Diceros bicornis minor: one gene and its partner. The protein of the gene in region 2 interacts with the protein of the main gene of each other region in a biochemical or structural test. Links are inferred from orthologs where the notes say so. Each region holds a gene or a part of one and is shown on either strand. Other genes may lie near its edges.

Evidence for each region.
Region 1: the proteins of ARL2 (region 2) and PDE6D are reported together in a solved structure, tested with the Homo sapiens proteins (2 studies listed by BioGRID and IntAct, with this or other methods). The link is inferred for Diceros bicornis minor from reciprocal best matches to the Homo sapiens genes ARL2 and PDE6D.

Annotation. Positions count from the first base shown.
Region 1 is NC_080776.1:20,151,830-20,155,578, forward strand, and holds the start of PDE6D (retinal rod rhodopsin-sensitive cGMP 3',5'-cyclic phosphodiesterase subunit delta), read right to left. Parts: upstream 2,408-3,749; coding exon 2,404-2,407; intron 1,693-2,403; exon of another isoform or gene 1,566-1,692; intron 1,210-1,565; coding exon 918-1,209; intron 1-917. UniProt on the Homo sapiens protein: Promotes the release of prenylated target proteins from cellular membranes. Modulates the activity of prenylated or palmitoylated Ras family members by regulating their subcellular location.
Region 2 is NC_080770.1:8,121,279-8,125,027, reverse strand, and holds the start of ARL2 (ADP-ribosylation factor-like protein 2), read left to right. Parts: upstream 1-1,501; 5' UTR 1,502-1,552; coding exon 1,553-1,617; intron 1,618-3,749. UniProt on the Homo sapiens protein: Small GTP-binding protein which cycles between an inactive GDP-bound and an active GTP-bound form, and the rate of cycling is regulated by guanine nucleotide exchange factors (GEF) and GTPase-activating proteins (GAP).

The sequences.
Region 1 (3,749 bases), on a different chromosome or scaffold from region 2:
CATTAAGAGGGTTGCACAAGAGGCACCACACAGGCCTGAGGCAATGATTTCTATATGCTACTATATCCTACCATGTCCCCAATGTAATCAAATAATTGCTGGACAGCTCCCCCATGTCTATGCGTTAACCACACATGTGAGCACGCCAAGATCCCTTTGCCAGGAGTCCCAGGGCAAAACCAAGACACCTCAAGGCATCTCAGCCACAAGTTTAGGGTCCTCATTTGGTGGAAAGAAAACTGAGGATCTGAGGGGAGAAGAAGTGACCGTCCAATGCCTCAAAAGGCCAAGGCAGAGTTAGATCTCGGACTTCTCTCTCCCCACCTTGCTCTGCTCCAGCCCTGGAAGGAGCCACAAGTGAGGAAGAGAAGTTGCAGAAACACGGCGGGGGTGGGGTGGGGGGTGGTATGGGATGCGGGCACCCGAGAGAGTTTAACACAAGCATTTGCACTTGTCCCACACAAGGTCATTCGCTCCAAGTCACTTTTCCCTGCTCCCGCCGGGGGCTTCCCGCCCAAGAGGCTGCTGGGCTTCGAGGCCAGCCCACCGCGCCCCCTCGGCCCTTCCCCGTGGGCCGCAGCCCCTTCCCGGCTTCTGGGTGCGGGCCGGAGTTCGGACGCCAGCTGGCCTCCCTGCCACCCGTTTCCCACGCCCGGCGCCTCTCCCCGACCGATTCTGGGGCTCCTCCGCCTGCACCCCCCGGCGCTCCCGTCAACGACCCCTTCCTCCCTCAGGACGCCCCTTTCCCCACCTCCAGAGCCGGTCCCGCCGGGGGCCCGGGACGCCGCTCCTGCCATCTCCTCCCGCCGCCCTCTCCTCGGGCGCCCACCTGGCGCGGCCCCCGCCCCCGGCCTGTCTCCTCAGCCAGCGGCCGCCTCCCAAGTCCTCCCGGCCCCGCCCCGCTCCCAGGCGGATACAGTTTGAAGCCCCTCAGGATCTCCCTGGCCCGGTCGTCCTTGGCTGACATGATGCGGCGACCGCCGCCCGCGGCTCTCCCACGCTGGCCCGGAGGAGCCTCGTAGACGGTGACCAGGAGCCGAGGACTGAGCTGCAGCCGGGCCTGGAGACCTCCGGCGAGCAGCGGCAGCGGCCAGACCCGGACCGGCCTCTCTCTCCCCTCAGCTCCCGCTCCTGATTCCTTCTCCTTCCCTCTAGCCTCGGAGCGCCCGCCCCGAAGCCAATGGAAAGCCCGCCTCGGCGATTGGCATCCTGATCAGCCAATGGAAACACTCAGCGGCTTCAAGGGGGGACGATGAGCGTCAATGGGAAGGGCCCTCCCGGGGAAGTCCCGTAGGACAAATTTTTTTTTTTTTTTTTTCATTCGGTGCTGTTGCCTAGAGTTTTCCCCAGTGGAGGATTTTAGATCTGCAGAGGCTCGAGGGGCCTGCTCCCGCTGCTGGGCACACAAGGGCTCTGAGATGACAGCGGGTTGCACCGTGAGATGTGGCGGAGACTACATTTCCCAGAATCCCAGGGGACCACAGATCCCAGCAAGCAACAAAGAGGCCCAGGGACTACAAATCCCAGCATTCCCTGCACTCTATTCCTCTGTAACTTGGACTCCAGTGTGCCGCGCAGTGTGCGCAAATTCATAAACCGTGCCTCAGGTTTGGTAGTTTCTGAATCCGGAGACTTGAAACCAGGCGGCAAGACCCTCTTCACCCTCAAAAGAAGATGACAGCCCACAGAGAGGTAACTTTTGTTTACATGGAACTCAGAAATCTCCTGCAAATCATGGTAAGGCTGCAAACAACAAACAGAAACACTGATTAAACCATGAGAGATAATAAGATAAAATGACTCCTTCAAACCTTGCTTGTTTGTTGGTCTGGAGCGCCTTTTACGTTTTTTGCAGGGGTTTCTGGTGTGCTCCTGCGTTGGACCGGGAGAGATATCGATAGTGTACTCAGAATATCAGTATAGGAAGGGACTTTAGAGAATTTGCTAATCCAACCCCTGTTGTTTTACATATGAGGAAACTGAGACCCAGAGAGGCAAGGAGATTGTCCACGGGTCACAGCAAGTTGGGGCAGAGTTAGAATTCGGCCCTAAGTTTCCTGACACTCTCTGGGCTCTTTGCACCACACTAGGGTGGCGATATTTTTAGCAGCATGGCTATGTGGTTATTCTTCTCCCTGGTGAAGTTTCCCCATCGGGGTTGAAACACCCAGAGGTTAGGTAAGCATTTATTTGGTGGATTTCCTCCAAATGAAGGAGTGTGATGTTTATCTTCAGTCTAGGTAGGACTTGGTGTTTTGCTTTGTTCTTTGTTTGTTTGTTGCTCAACGTGACATTTAACGTGATTTCAGGAACTGGGTAAAATTGTAGTGTAAGCTCAAGTTTCCTGGAAGATCTCCTGTCTGTTTTCCTAGGCTTTCCTTCCTCTTCCTGTCCCTCTCTCACCCATCTGGGCACTCACCCAATTTTTCCTTCCATGTAATTCCACAAACAGCTTTTTCAGCTTTTGTTATTTGCCAGGCTTTCTATAAAAGCTGAAAGGCATGGTCATTGCCACCAGGAAGATAACCATCTAGTTAGTGAAATAAGGAGACTCCACTGAGATTCAAGGTGGACTGTGATAAATGGCATAAAAGAAAGGACGTCAGAATGCTATAGAGGCTCTGATGGAGAGATGTATTCCATTTATTGATGGAGGAGGTCGCATTTGAACTTGAAGGATGCACAGGATTTTTTTTCTATGTTAAAAAATTTTATCTTTACATTTTTTTGTGTGTGTGTGAGGAAGACTAGCCCTGAGCTAACATCCCGATGCCAATCCTCCTCTTTTTTGCTGAGGAAGATAGGCCCTGGGCTACCATCCATGCCCATTTTCCTCTGCTTTATATGGGATACTGCCACAGCATGGCTTGACAAGTGGTGCGTCGTTGTGCACCCCAGATCCGAACCTGCGAACCCCGGGCCACCAAAGCGGAGTGCATGCACTTAACCGCTGTGCCACCGGGCCAGCCCCATCTTTATATTTTTTTGTTAATAAGGTATAACACATACAGTAAGGGCACAATTTTTGCATATGTATACACCTGTGTCACCACCCCCCAAATCAAGATATAGAATATTTCCAGCACCCCTTGTGCCCCTTTCCAATCAGTACTTCATCGTCCCATCCCAGTAACCATTCTTCTGACTTCTGTTACCATACATCAGTTTTGTCTGTTCTTGAATTTCATTTAAATGTAATCATACAATATGTACAGTATGTCTGGCTTTTTTCATTCATCAATATTTTTGTGAAATTCATCCATGTTGTATGTAGCAGTAGCTTGTTTTTCTTTAAATTCGTGAGTAGTATTCCATTGTCTGTATATAGCACTGTTGATCTATTCTACTGTTGATGGGCATTTAGGTAATCAGTTATCAATTTTTGGCTTTTATTAATAAAGCTGCAATGAGCTTCTTATATGTTCCTTCTTGTGGACTCATTTCTAGGAGAGGAGTTGCTGGCTTGTACGGTGTGCATATGATCAGCAATAGTAGATATTGCCAGTTTTCCAAAATGTTTGTACCAATTTTCACCTCCACCAGCAGTGTAAGAGAGTTCTGGTTGACTCTTATCTTTGTCAATACTGGGTGTTGTCAGTCTTTTTAATTTTAGCCATTTTGGCTAAATGTGGTATCTCATTATAGTTTTTATTTACATTGTCTGGTGTTGAGCACCTTTCCATATGCTTATATGAACATCCTCTTCTGTGAAGTGCTTGTTCAAGTCTTTTGCCCACTTTTTAAATTGC
Region 2 (3,749 bases):
GGAATTCACCACACATGCATACCCCAAGCAGGGTAACTGATCCCCACTGAAGGCACTTCAATTTTTTCCAGTTTCTTGCTATTCCACACCATGCCACAGAGAACTTCCTTGTCATAAATGTTCACTTGCTGGTGCTAGAATTTCTGTAGCAGAGACTCATGGAGATAGGACGGCAGGCACACTGTGATCTCAGTTGTGTCTTAAAGCCTTTGAATAGGAGTTACGCCCACTTTGTTCCCTTGGGTGTGCTTGGTGGAGGGTAAATAGTGCTGTCCCAGGGGGCCCAGCCAGGCACCCCGTTCTGTCCAGCCCTCCCTTGTCCACAACCTTCTTCTGCAGGATGGGAAGGTCCAGACCACTCCAGATCTCTCCCTCTCCAGACCAACACCATGGAGGGACCAGGAAACGCAGTGCACTTGACTGTCGACCAGACCTGAGTTTAAATCGCTGCCCAAGCTCCTTAAACTCTGACTCCACTATCACATCTACAAAAAGGAAATAAACCTCTCAGGGTTGCCAGGGGGATGAAGTAGAAAGCACGGAGTGCTTTGTAAACAACTACACAGAAGTTAGCCGTTATCTTCAGCCGGTGCCTGACTGTTCTTTCCCACGCATCAGACAAAGCCTACTCTGGGCTGCCTACTCATATTTATCTTGTAGAGGGCTGGAAGGAGGGCTCAAAACAAGACAACAAAGCTCACCCTTCTGAGTTTACAATCTGCCTAGTCCCTTGCCTCAGTTTCCTCACTTTTTCTGGACTTGAGCGCCAAGGTAAAGAACCAAACTCTTGGACAACGTCATTCATTCAACAACAAACCACCTACTATATGCCAGTCGCTGTGCTAAGCGCCCGGTGAGCCTCAATTTTCTCAGTGGCAAAATGAATCGTGCTTCTCAACAGAGAAACGATGGGCATCTCGGGCAGGCCAATTCTTTGTGCGGGTCTGTCCTCTGCCCTCTAAAGGACAGGGACTCTACCTTGCCATTGGGACAACCCAATGACGCCCCTGCACAAACGGCCCCTGGGAGGCATTTTCGCCCTCGATGGAGAACCCTCGGCCCACCGTCTCCCATCTGAGGAGCCAGGGAAAGGGGGAGGCCCAAGATGCGCAGGATCTGGACCACGTTTCCGGGGCACAGAGCCCTATGCTGGCCCCAGGATGAGCTGGTCAACATCCTTGGGGCTCTCGGTTCTGACTCCTGAGTTAGAATTTCTCTCTTTGCAGGCAAGATACAACCCAGGAAACTTCAGGTTTCCATTCCCGGTTGAGTCTGGGATCCTGCTGCGGAGGAATGGCGGTGCCCTCGTCCCCTAAGCCCTCGGGATGTGAAGGGTTAACGCAGGTGGCCGCGCAGAAGCCCCCAGCACCGCTAGAGGGACCGCCGCAGCGGCACCGCCGGGCGACTTCGCGGTCACGTGGGGGAGAGGGCGGGACCAAGCAAGAGGCCGACCAATCGGCTGAGCTGCCGGTGGGAGTGCTAGCCAATAGGAGCAAGGAGAGGGGTCCCGGGACTAGAAAGAAACGGCGGCCGAGAGGGGGCTACCGCGACCATGGGGCTTCTGACCATTCTGAAGAAGATGAAGCAGAAAGAGCGGGAGCTGCGGTTGCTGATGCTGTATCCTCCCGGACGCCGCAGCCGCGGGGGTAGCGAGGGCCCCGCCGGGCGGGCGGTGCCAGGCGCCCCCTACCGGGCGCGGGGGCCACGGCCGGCCGGCCCGTACCAACTGCCCAGTGTGCGTCACGCACGTGGGCCCTACCAACCGCTCCTGGCGGGGGGCCGGAAGGGGGCCGTACCACTGGCTCGGGCGGGGGGTCTCCGTTCCCAAGGCCAAGGGTGTGGGCCTGAAGGCCCGCAGTGTAGGGGGGAGGTGGGGCCCGGAGGTGACCCGGACGCCACTGCCCGTCCGTCTGGCCCGAGGAGGGGCCGGTATCCTCCCCGGCTCTGACCTCCTCCCCTCTGTCTGAGGGGGGCCAAGCCCGGCCCCGCCCTCAAGGTCGGAATCCCTGGGGCGTTTGGAACCCGCCCTCCGCCCGGGGGCAGGCGGGTGTGGACTCCGCGGGTCGTTTCGACCGTGGATCGAACTGTCCCTCTCATTGCTGCCGCTCGGCCCGTCGGTGTCCCCGCGGCTGGCGGCCTGTAGGCCCGGGGCCCCGCCGACCTTCTGAGTCCCATTACCAGGCGTCCGCACTGGTTCGCCCTACTCTGTGAGGGACCCGTGGGGGCTCTGCGATCTGAGAGCTGGGCGGGCCTGACCCCGAGCTCCCCTAGCAGGGGAAGGGAGACATTTATGTGCGCAAATAAGTTAAAATAATAGTCACATCGTGTCTTAAAGAGCTCCCAGAAAGGCACAGAATTCACTTATCCGATCAATATTGAGCGCTTACTATGTGCTAGGCGCTGCCCTAGGTGCTGGGGGAAACAGCAAAATAAAAAAATCCTACCTTCATGGACGTTCTATGATGCTGGGGGGAGAAAGATATTAACAAAGCAAATGAGTAAAATATATAGTATGTATGGAATAGAATGCAGTCTAAATAAGCTGGTTAAAGAAGGCCACATTGAGTAAGTGACAGTTGATTAAAACAGAGAGGTGAGGGATGAACCATGTAGGTATGTGGGGAAGATTGTTTAAGCAAAGGGAACAGCACAGGCAAAGGCCTCGAAGGAGGAGCTCAACTGGTGTGTTCAAAGGGACGTCAAGGAGGGCAATGTGGCTGGAGAGAATGGGCAAGGAGAATACTAGAAGATTAGGACAGAGAGGTGGTGGAAGAACCACCTCCTGTAGGGCCTTGTGGTTCATGGCTTTTTCTTTAAGTGCAGTGCAGAGGGGAGGTGTGATCTGAGACCAGCTAGGCCCTTGCTCTAACCCAGGAGAGACAGCCTGGTGGCTTGGGCCAGGATGGAAGCAGTGAGGTGATGGAAGCTGGGGGACATTTTGACAGTAGGGCCCCCAGGAATTACTGCTGGATTGGCTGGGAGTGTGAGAGGGAGAATGAAATCAAGCCTGACTCCTAGGGTTCTGCCCTGAGCAATTAGAAAAAGAGGAGCCACTTGCTGAGATGGCTCCTCTGAGACATCCTAGAAATGTCAGATAGGCAGCTGGATGTAGGGACTGATGTCCAGGGGAGCAGCTGGGTGGGACGTATAAATTTGGGTGTCATCAGCATAAAGATGGTGTATGAAGCCGTGATCCTGGGTGAGAGCACTGAGGATGAGTGTGGACAGAGAAGGGAACCCAGGCTTACCTGGATCAAGAGGTCAGGGAGATGAGGATGGGTGATTTGGGAGGCAGGTGTACAGGCAAGGGCATGTCCTGGAGCAGAGGAAGGGGCAGGCCGCTGTCTCACGTGCTGCTGATGGAGCAGGAAGACGAGGGGTGAGGACTGCCCGGCCACGGGAGGGCTACGTGCGGGTCTTTAGGGGCTGACCTCAGTGAGAGCAATTTCCAGGAAGCAGTGGGAGCCTCACGGGTTCAAGAAAGGGCAAGAGGACAGAAATTGAGAGGGCGAGTATGGACAACGGTTTTTTGTTTTTTTTTTATAATTTTATTTATTTATTTATTTTTCTCCCCAAAGCCCCAGTAGATAGTTGTATGTCATAGCTGCACATCCTTCTAGTTGCTGTATGTGGGACGCGGCCTCAGCATGGCCAGACAAGCGGTGCGCCGGTGTGCGCCTGGGATCCGAACCCAGGCCGCCAGCAGCGGAGCGCGCACACTTAACCACGGGGCCAGCCCTGGACAACGG